3 linked regions of the Saccharomyces cerevisiae S288C genome follow. Changing the gene in region 1 together with any one later gene gives a genetic interaction. Each region holds a gene or a part of one and is shown in the gene's direction. Other genes may lie near its edges. The genes, in order: YGR127W, YCL049C and USV1.

The links.
Region 2: mutations in YGR127W (region 1) and YCL049C together harm fitness more than expected from each alone (negative genetic interaction), as found in Saccharomyces cerevisiae (one large-scale study listed by BioGRID).
Region 3: mutations in YGR127W (region 1) and USV1 together harm fitness more than expected from each alone (negative genetic interaction), as found in Saccharomyces cerevisiae (one large-scale study listed by BioGRID).

Annotation. Positions count from the first base shown.
Region 1 is NC_001139.9:744,986-748,281, forward strand, and holds YGR127W (uncharacterized protein), read left to right. Parts: upstream 1-1,812; coding exon 1,813-2,751; downstream 2,752-3,296. Other genes in the region: VSB1 (Vsb1p), read left to right, coding at 1-450; YGR126W (uncharacterized protein), read left to right, coding at 850-1,542; UTP8 (Utp8p), read right to left, coding at 2,965-3,296.
Region 2 is NC_001135.5:39,160-42,600, reverse strand, and holds YCL049C (uncharacterized protein), read left to right. Parts: upstream 1-1,876; coding exon 1,877-2,815; downstream 2,816-3,441. Other genes in the region: SPS22 (Sps22p), read right to left, coding at 1-436; YCL048W-A (uncharacterized protein), read right to left, coding at 874-1,113.
Region 3 is NC_001148.4:113,337-117,055, forward strand, and holds USV1 (Usv1p), read left to right. Parts: upstream 1-1,975; coding exon 1,976-3,151; downstream 3,152-3,719. Other genes in the region: trifunctional fatty acid synthase subunit FAS2, read left to right, coding at 1-979. UniProt on the Saccharomyces cerevisiae protein: Transcription factor that participates in the transcriptional activation of glucose-repressed genes during exponential growth in non-fermentable carbon conditions. Also involved in salt-stress response.

The DNA of each region.
Region 1 (3,296 bases):
GCATTAAAGCAGTACCGACCCGATATAATATCTGAAGTTCAAAAAGTAAGAGAAAAGGAAATCAAGTTTTGGGCACAACTCTGCCCCTACTTCACCAGGCGCAGATTAGCAAGTCAATCACATTTACTACATGCAGACAACATTTTTTTCCTTGTGGAAACAGGTATGTTGAAGGCAACATATGAACTACCACAAGGAACCTTGTACGAGATTTTTTCAAATGGCACATGCTTCGGAAAAATCATTGCGCCAGGGAATGCTATGCCTAGAGAACAAAAGCTCACCATCGAAACTGAAACTGATTCCGTATTATGGGTTATAGACTCTAGCTCGTTGAACAAATTGAAAGAAGACAATCTAGCATTGTACGTGGAGGTTGCATTAATGGTCATGTGTATCAAGGACACCAGATTCAAAGAATTACTAGGTTACACACTTGTTAGCGCATGAGAGCGTACACGTATATTTATTTAATTTCTTTTATTGCCGGCGTATTGCAAGTAATTTACACCAGTACTAAATAAAAGCAGGATGCTCCTGCATCTGTATAAGTGATGCCGTTGTAGGATTTTTACCATCTCGACTATAAACTTTTTGTACTTGAGTCTTCACTTCCGGAATTTTACTGCGCGATTTTCTTTGATAGGGCCCCTATCGTAGACGAAAAGTGATAATTCCCATCGATGAGCAACTACATACCTCACTTGACTTAATTGCTCTCCTAAAGAAAAAAAATACCGTTACTTTTTTCATTAATATACTACCACAACAATTCACAACGGGTAGTTGTACGGTTAGTTTATATCCGCATTAACAAATCAAAGTCATAACAACGTATCAACGTAGACTATGCCTGTCCCATCTGTTACTGTCACTACCGATAATGAATATGAAGACATATCGTCCTTTTCTTCTATTGACTCTTACAAACCGGAGCCCTTTACTGGGTTCAAAGATTCTGAAGCTCCAGAACAGCCTCTTTTAAAAAACGATACCATTGTTGGAAAGGGGCAACTGGAAGATGATAGTAATGTAGATGATCAACACCGTCATTCAGATGTGCATTCTCATCACAGTTCTAGTACTTTAAAAAGGCCAACTTCAAATTCGATAGAAAAGATGGTTACCCACAATGCTTTAGAGGGCAACTCAGAAACAGTTGATTCCTTAAAAGAAGATGGTTTAAATTTGAACAAGAAAGCTCTTCCGGATATTACCGCCCCAGTAACAAACTCAGCTCACGATGCTGCATTTCCAGAAGAGTATCGTTTAGAAACTGAAACCGGGTTGGTCAAATTGAAGACGCTTGAAAGTTTGAAGAGGGAGGACTCTCGCGTATCCTCAACTAAAAAAGAGCATATTAACGACCATACAGATATGCATTCGACACGATCCAAGGTTACTACAAATTCTCAAGGTTCTTCTCTAGAACCAAACAAGTTGAACATGGCAGTAGAGAAGAATAAGAAGAGGATCGAAAAATATCAAAAACATAAATCAGAAAAGGGGATCAAGGGGTTTTTTCATAGAATTTTCGATTAAGTGGCATAGCAACATTTAGTTCGCAATGCGTTTACTTCAGAATCATTCTTTTTTTTTTTTTTTTTTTTTTTTTGCCTCACATTATATTCTTGGCATCTGCCTAGCTTTCGACTTTTTCGTTCAATTCCTAAAGCGCTAAAAAAATAGTCTCCCCCTGAAAGTGGAGTAGGATAGTAGTATATGAAGTGAGGCAGAAAAGGAAAGAAACGCTTGCATTTATTAACACACCTGTGGCTAAAGTATTAAAAACCAAAAACTAACGAACAAATAATGTGCATTTTAATGGCCACAAGGGCACATCCTGACTATGAACTCATCTTAATATCTAACAGAGACGAATTCTTGGCAAGAAAAACACATGCTACATGCTGGCATAACAATGATTTTATCCTTTCACCCTACGATCTGGCCAAAACCTCAGCAGAAAAACAAATATTTGGCACTTGGTCTGGCATAAATAAAGAAGGAAAATTAGCCACTATTCTTAATTTAAAACTTGACAATGAGCAAAATAATACGAAATCAAGATCCCGTGGTCTGTTACCATTTATATTTTTGTCGATCCATAAAGCAGATTTTGAAGATTGGGATAATTACAAAAAGTTTGAAGGTCACTATGATGGGTTGAAGTCCACAGGTGATTTTAATTTTTTTTACGGCGACGTTATCAAAAAGCAATATAAAGTTATTGATTCTCTAGGAAGAACTTTTGATGTGTTGAGTTCTACCTGTAGGAAAGATCTTGATTCTTACATGGTTGTTTCTAATGGTAAATTTTATGACAGCTCCAGTATACCAGGGCAGGCTTGGGAAAAAGTAAAGGTAGCACGTGATAGTTTAGAAAATCTAGTTTTAGAGAATATTGAATCAGATGAGGAGAAAATAATATCAAGTTGCTTTCAACTCGCCTCGAAGTCTTCCCTTCCAAGCACTATTTCAAACCCAGATGTCTTGCAGATGGTAGATCCAAATGTAACCATGAATACCATATACGTACCACCTTTACGGAGGCCTCCCAGGGATGACTTAGGTGCCTCAATTCCTGATGGTGATTACTACGGAACTCGCTCTCAAATAGTTTTACTCGTGAGTAAGGATTCAACGAGAGTTACCTTTATAGAAAGGGTCCTTTATAGCTCAGATGAAGACGTGCGCAAGTATTCGGTAACCTCACCTAAGGAGGAAAAAAGGTTTAAATTCAAATTGTAAAAATCACAATCTTCCATTTTATTTCAAACTAGCTTTAAATTCCATCTTCTTCCCCTCAGAACATTCCGGTATCTCTTGTTGGACACATCTAATGTATATGATGTTTTCAAATTCTAAATGCCTGTTAGTTTATCAGTAACCACAGTAGACGCTATATATATTAGTTCCTTTTCTATATAGGTATTATACAATACAATCAAATTCATTGCATACTCAAATGTCCAAGTATTCCATGGTGTAAGTGGGTAAGGCTCGCTTCTGAGAAGTTCCGTTATCAAAGGTTGAGCTAGCAAACCCATGCTGAAAACCTTTCGTATCAATCAAATTCCACAATTCGGTATTTCTTTCAGCAATCTCAACTTGTTTGTCAATATATAAGGTTAAGTTCTCCAATAGAGCACCTTCTAATGAAAATAGCCCGATAGAATCTAGCACAAGGGACAAGAGTTGAAATAGCTGCGTGCTTTGGCTAGGGTTGAAGCATTCTGGTGAGCTGTCTTCACCACCGCTTGTTATGAACTCAATGAAATTTTGAACGTCTAATT
Region 2 (3,441 bases), on another chromosome or scaffold:
GGAAGAGCCCTTCGATTTTATTCAAGTTCCCGGCTTGGATTCTGATCAGTTCAGGTGAATCCTGAATAATCAGGTCACCACCAATGGCCCTCAAGCTGTTCAAATCCAAAATGTTAGAATCATAGTTTGTGACTTTTAATGACCCCAAGATGAATTCACATTGGTTTTGTAAATGAAAAAGATCATGAGACGATTCAATGACGTGCAAATCTTTTTTACACAACTCTGATATCGGTGAGTTTGTGTTCAGACTCTTGACATCTATTTCAAAAAACGGTTCATTTGCTCTTCTTTGAAGTTCGAGATTACCGTTATGAAAAGGCTTCACATTATGTGGTCGCCTTGGCGGATCAATAGCGGCACCCAATGCATGTGTCACAAATAATGATGCAAATATAATCGCGAATAAACAACTTTTCCTAGTAATACGGTTCATAAGTCGATCAAGTAATGAAAAAATGGCTTTTGGTTTTCCTTGTTGTATTTCAGATGAGATATCTTACCAACAGAACAAGTTTCTCTATTGTATGTCACAAAAGGATATAGCTTCTCCAAAATCTTTCTTTTTTATATTTTTTTTTTTTTTTTTTTTTTTGAATTAGTGACGCATCTTCTGTACAGTAAAGAGAGAAAAAAAGGGTATAATAAAACAGTTAAGCTATACTATAGTAGCGCATACACACAACGTATATACATCTAGTATTAAATATTAGTAATTATTAAATAACGAAAAAATAAATTATGGTTGAAATAGAATCAAACGTAAAGAACAAAGAAAAAGCTTAATGGAACGAAAGTTAAAAAGCTCCCCAATTTTGAACAACGGTTATGGAATTAGAAAGAAAGAAAAAAATAAAGGAAATAAAAATGTTCCTAGAATAAGAAGGCAACACCGGCAGCGATTGCTGCTCCAAAGGCACCCGCCGCCATGGTATTAACTACGGCTTCGCCAATCGAAACTGTCGTAGTCACCGAAGCGGTAGGAAGAGTAGTATTTGGCTGCGTAGCATTTGGCTGCGTAGCATTTGGAGTAGTGGCGTTAGGTTCAATGCCAACTTGGGCGTTGATAGCAGTGACTGTAGCTAGAACAGCGACAATGTTTTTGATTTGCATTATTTAACGGAAGTATAAGGTTTGAAAAGGGAGCTTTAATTGTTTTAGCCGTTATCGATTTAGCGGTGAGAATGAAATAAAGAAAAGAGGAAGAAAAGACATTACATACAAATTTTTTTCAACTTAAATGGAGGTTATGTACTTTCTTATATAGATGCTAATCTTTTTTTTTCATCTCATCACAGATTTACGTCGTCAATCTACTAACTTCCCTTATCTTCCCTAAAGGGTATCTTACGTTTCCCCTTAGGGAAAATGAGTTTTGTCCCACCTTCCCTTTGGGAAAAGGCAATGTAAATCTTAGAGGCAAGAACCACACTTGTTGATAAGATCAGCTGCGTAACAGTGCGCTAGGCAAAGGGATGGAATAAGATAAATCCCTTGTTATCCCTTTGCTTTTAGTCTTATGTTGGGGAAGTCCACAAGTTATTGTTACATAAAGGAGGAGAAGAAAACTAGGGGAATATTTATAACACTCGCATTAGCTGATCGTAGGAAAGCAACACAAAACATATGCATCAGCTGGCCCTGTTTGTCTTGCTCATCGATTGATTTTGCAAGCAAAGCTGGGATACCCGAATGTGTATGGTTTTCCTTTTTTTGGTATTTTTCTCCTATAAACGAGCTTTTTTTCGTCTTGCATTCAGATTTAAATAGCTGCTTCTAAATATATACTTTACGCAAGAGGGTCCGGTCCCAATAGGAACCAAGCTATTGCAATTCCAGGGTTCAAGAGAGAAAAATCTGTAATCACTTCGAACCAATGTTTAGTAAATACCTCGTAACTGCATCTTCCCTCTTTGTGGCTTTGACCTCTGCAGCATCTACCGTTGATCTAGATGCTCTGCTTCTTCTACCAGGGGTCGAGTCCCACGACGGCGTTGATACTGTATTTTCGACCAAAGACTTTTATCAAGTGTCATTCGTCAAATCCATTGCTCCTGCTATCGTAAACAGCTCCGTAATCTTCCACGATGTTTCTCGTGGTGTGGCTATGGGCAATGTCAAGAGCAGAGCAAGTATCTTCAACCCAGAGGAAACGTATTACGATTGGGAACAGTACCAAGTAGTAAATAACGGAGACTGGCGAACCGAATGGGCACCTGCCTCTGACTGCATTTGGAGGGAGGAGAAGGATAACAGCGACGAAACACCGGACAGATTCCCCATCTCGGTGCCATATAATTGGACGTCACAGTACTCAATTGTAGATTATGACACAGACGCTAACGAAGACAATTTAGATTTCAGGTTTATTAAATCATTGCTAGATAAGAAAAATTGGTTGAAAAAAATTAACCAGACTGTTTCCCAATCCAGTATTATGGTAGCACCAATGATTAGGCCATACAATGTGGTCCAGCTTTGGTATTCAAAAGATATGGTTTGGGCAAACGTCCAAAGACAATATTGTAGCGGTGTTTATCCAGGAGGGACTCAATGTAGCGCTTGGTCCAGGTACTACCATGTTGATGCACCCACCTGCGATGAGCCTGTCGCCTCTTACATGACCAAAATGTTGGAAAATGAGGTTCAGTGTCCCAATGAGAGAAACGCAACTACCCTAGAGCCTCTCCGCCTGAATAAGCAGGGAGACTCTGATTTTTCTTTGACTTTCGAGGAAGAGGAAGAGGAAGAGACAGGATCTAAATCTCTTTGGAGTACATTGAAAAAAATTTTCTCTAAAAGAAGTATAAGTTGATCTTAGTTGGTAGCACTTTGATGAGGTCTCTAGCAAAAAGTCTACAAACAAATTCTTGAAAGTGTTTGATTGTATATCGATATATCAGAAACATACATATGATTTTTATCTTGTGAATATTCATCAAACTCCGTTTTTAGCCCCCGTGTAAGTTACTTTAATGAGTATTTGATCCTTTTTTTTATTGTGTTGGTTTTTATATGTTTTGTTATGTATTGTTTATTTTCCCTTTAATTTTAGGATATGAAAACAAGAATTTATCAAAGAAAAAAATCTTAGCTTTAAGAACTACAAAGTAAATAAAAAATAATAAATCACACCGGACAGTACATGAAACTGGACATATTTGAGGAATTTCTTTTGAAGAGTTGAGCATTCAAACTGGCCGGTCTTGCTGTGGCCTCAATCCACTTGAGCTCCAAAGAAGGCTCTGAAATGCTTATTTTTTTCAAGCGATACAAAGTAAACAGTTACATACCTGAATGATACTACCACAACTATTTACATTATCGTCCTGTCAAAAGGCGAATAATCAGAACTGTTTGTTAACATGTCATTTTATAAGAGCGGCCTGAAATACTGTCATAAGTGGTCTGTCGAAAGTAGTTATTACGGCGTCGGGCGTC
Region 3 (3,719 bases), on another chromosome or scaffold:
GCATTTGGGTAGATCTGAAGGTAATCCCGTCATTGGTGTTTTCCAAAAGTTCTTGACTGGTCATCCAAAGGGTGCTGCTGGTGCATGGATGATGAATGGTGCTTTGCAAATTCTAAACAGTGGTATTATTCCAGGTAACCGTAACGCTGATAACGTGGATAAGATCTTGGAGCAATTTGAATACGTCTTGTACCCATCCAAGACTTTAAAGACCGACGGTGTCAGAGCCGTGTCCATCACTTCTTTCGGTTTTGGTCAAAAGGGTGGTCAAGCTATTGTGGTTCATCCAGACTACTTATACGGTGCTATCACTGAAGACAGATACAACGAGTATGTCGCCAAGGTTAGTGCCAGAGAGAAAAGTGCCTACAAATTCTTCCATAATGGTATGATCTACAACAAGTTGTTCGTAAGTAAAGAGCATGCTCCATACACTGATGAATTGGAAGAGGATGTTTACTTGGACCCATTAGCCCGTGTATCTAAGGATAAGAAATCAGGCTCCTTGACTTTCAACTCTAAAAACATCCAAAGCAAGGACAGTTACATCAATGCTAACACCATTGAAACTGCCAAGATGATTGAAAACATGACCAAGGAGAAAGTCTCTAACGGTGGCGTCGGTGTAGATGTTGAATTAATCACTAGCATCAACGTTGAAAATGATACTTTTATCGAGCGCAATTTCACCCCGCAAGAAATAGAGTACTGCAGCGCGCAGCCTAGTGTGCAAAGCTCTTTCGCTGGGACATGGTCCGCCAAAGAGGCTGTTTTCAAGTCCTTAGGCGTCAAGTCCTTAGGCGGTGGTGCTGCATTGAAAGACATCGAAATCGTACGCGTTAACAAAAACGCTCCAGCCGTTGAACTGCACGGTAACGCCAAAAAGGCTGCCGAAGAAGCTGGTGTTACCGATGTGAAGGTATCTATTTCTCACGATGACCTCCAAGCTGTCGCGGTCGCCGTTTCTACTAAGAAATAGAGAGAGCACTACGTAGTCCCTCTTTTAATATGTAACGTGTCGCTTCTATTTATCAGACATAATAGTAATTACTTTGTTATTTTTCTATCGTTTCCTTACTTTAGCCTCTGATTTCGATCTGGCCTAATCATTGTGTACGTCTATAATCATATGGCCCTGAGCGTACACACCGTTCAATTCTTCTATTTGGTCGGCCCACACAAATTCGCGCGGGGGCATATTGACGCGTGGAAGAATAGAAGTCCGCGTAGCAGCTCTGGGGTAATTAGGCTTTTACGATATCGGCTGGCCCAGCACCGGTTTTTATTCCTCCCGTGGTTGTTGTCTCTACCGTGAGGAGGGGAAAGGGTCAGGGACGGCCGGTAGTTATGTTGTCTCAACGATTACTGCCATCTATTGTTTACACCAATCGCGTGGGGCAAGGGGCTGGAAGGCTGTGGTGTACAGAATAGGGTCTAATACCCGATGCGCGACGCTCCTGCGACTGGTTGTGTGAGCCACCCCTTGATCGCCTCTGCCAAATACTCAGGGAAGAGAAAAATCGCGAAGGTGGACGAGTGCCCTTAAAGAACCAGCATCCTCGATCGCCGCTGCCGTTCGCCCTGGCTTAGCGGTGGGAAGCATCCTTTGGCTTTCGAATTCTCCGCCGTTGAGTCCCCCTAAGGGCCTTATTTATCCCCTCTATTTTTTTTTAGAAAATGTTTTCTTTTTCAAGATTTGTTTGCTCCTTCACGGCTTCCCCCTTAACCGTTCAACAGTCTTCCGTATATAACAATCTCAATCCACTCTTATTGCCTATAATTTTGATTAATTCTTATTCATCCCGGCAGATAAAGTTTCGTCTTGTTTTGAAAGAGACAGGAGTTCTTGGCTGCAGTATTTTGCAACAGCTTCATTAACCATGTATGTAAAGAAAAAATCTGGAGCGACTTACTGGCTTAGCTTTTTTTACTAACACATAAATAATACTGTGATAAGATAAGAAAAAAACACGAAATGGAAAATACCACGAATCGTAATACTGCAGGCGTTCTTACGAGCAGCAATGGTAACTTTGCCACCAATAGTGTAGCGGCATCAACTCCGAAGAGGTCCAAAAGTGCTCGAAGGAAAACGTTCAAATGCACCGGATATGACGGTTGTACGATGTCCTTCACTAGAGCGGAACATCTTGCACGTCATATAAGAAAGCACACTGGTGAAAAGCCGTTCCAGTGTCCTGCATGTTTGAAATTCTTCAGTAGAGTTGATAATTTGAAACAGCATCGGGAATCGGTCCATGCACATAAAAACCACCATTCTACCAGCTCGCACCAGCGTAAGCCTTCCTCTTCATCTTTATCCTCCTCTTCTTCTGCATCTTCTTCGTCTTCTGCTTCATCATCTACATCATATAGTGATCCTTACAGGAAAACTAATATTAATAGCGGGAACATGCCGATGATGGCAGAAAACGAAAAAGCGCCCCAAATAATACATTCTTCGCCGGAGTTCATTACTAGCACGAGAAGCATCCCACCCATCTCTCCAAGGTCCATTTATAATACCCAACGACAGCAACAACACCAACAACAACAGCATCAACAGGCTCCCTATTATTTTCCTTCCCATCCAATCACTGATAGTTACTACCAGTATCCTCTTCCCAGTAATAATAACACCATCAATTATTTACCATCAGTAGATGTGCAGTATCCTTTGAATGTGAGCCCCTCCTCAACGAGCCATCCGGCCTCTGAGGTAATCATATCGTCCTTTCCTCCGAGGTCCATGCCAAGTACTTCCTTCAAATATAAAGATTCTGCCGACTTTCAAGCACGGACAACTATGAACAAATACAATATTAGACCAAGCAATATCAATGTCAATACTAGTAATATCAATAACCATCTTGATTCATTCTCCCCGCCGTTTTCTCCGTCAACGACAGTTGCTGAAGCAAAACCAATTATTTTACCACAGTATCAGCAGGCATTTAGCCAACCACCAAATGGAAATAAAAACAATAATATGTCTTCCTCGAAGAATGGCGGCAAAGGGGGAGAAAATTTCAAGAATACTGATGATCGCAATGATAATAATAACAAAAAGAGGTCGGAAACTTTATCAGAGTCTGATATTTCGGTCAACACCAATAAGAAAAGGCTTAGTGTTGATTACATATTGACTTGATCGAGGCAATCTGATCTAAGTTTCAAATATTCCGTAGAGTATAAATATCTTACAACTAATATAATTCTTAATATGCGCAAACAAATTATGGTGCGCATCTTTTTTTATTTTTATGTTTTGTTCCATACTAAATGCAGTTTATAAAATTTTTCAAATGAGTCAAGCTATGTATAATCAGTGCTACAAAAATGATAAGATGCAATTGCAAGAAAAAATCCCTTGCATAAAGGGCTTTCTGACCTCTTGCGTTGATCAACGAGAAATAACCGCAAAACTTAATTTTAAACTCCCGCGTCTGCTTTACACAGCCCACAGTAGCATCAAAAACTACGATGTAACACTAACGGTGGATTGTGAATACGGAACGAACAATCCTGCATCTTGACTTCAAAACTTGATCATATACACCTATACCGCCATGGTTATCTCGCCCTTACGCTCACCCGGACCCCCGTTAATTGCAATAATAAGAAAAAGAAAAGAAAGAAGCTTTTTATCTCATTTCACTGACAAGATGACGCTTTTTCCGATTTTAGCAGATAAACTATCACATATAACCACTTTTTTA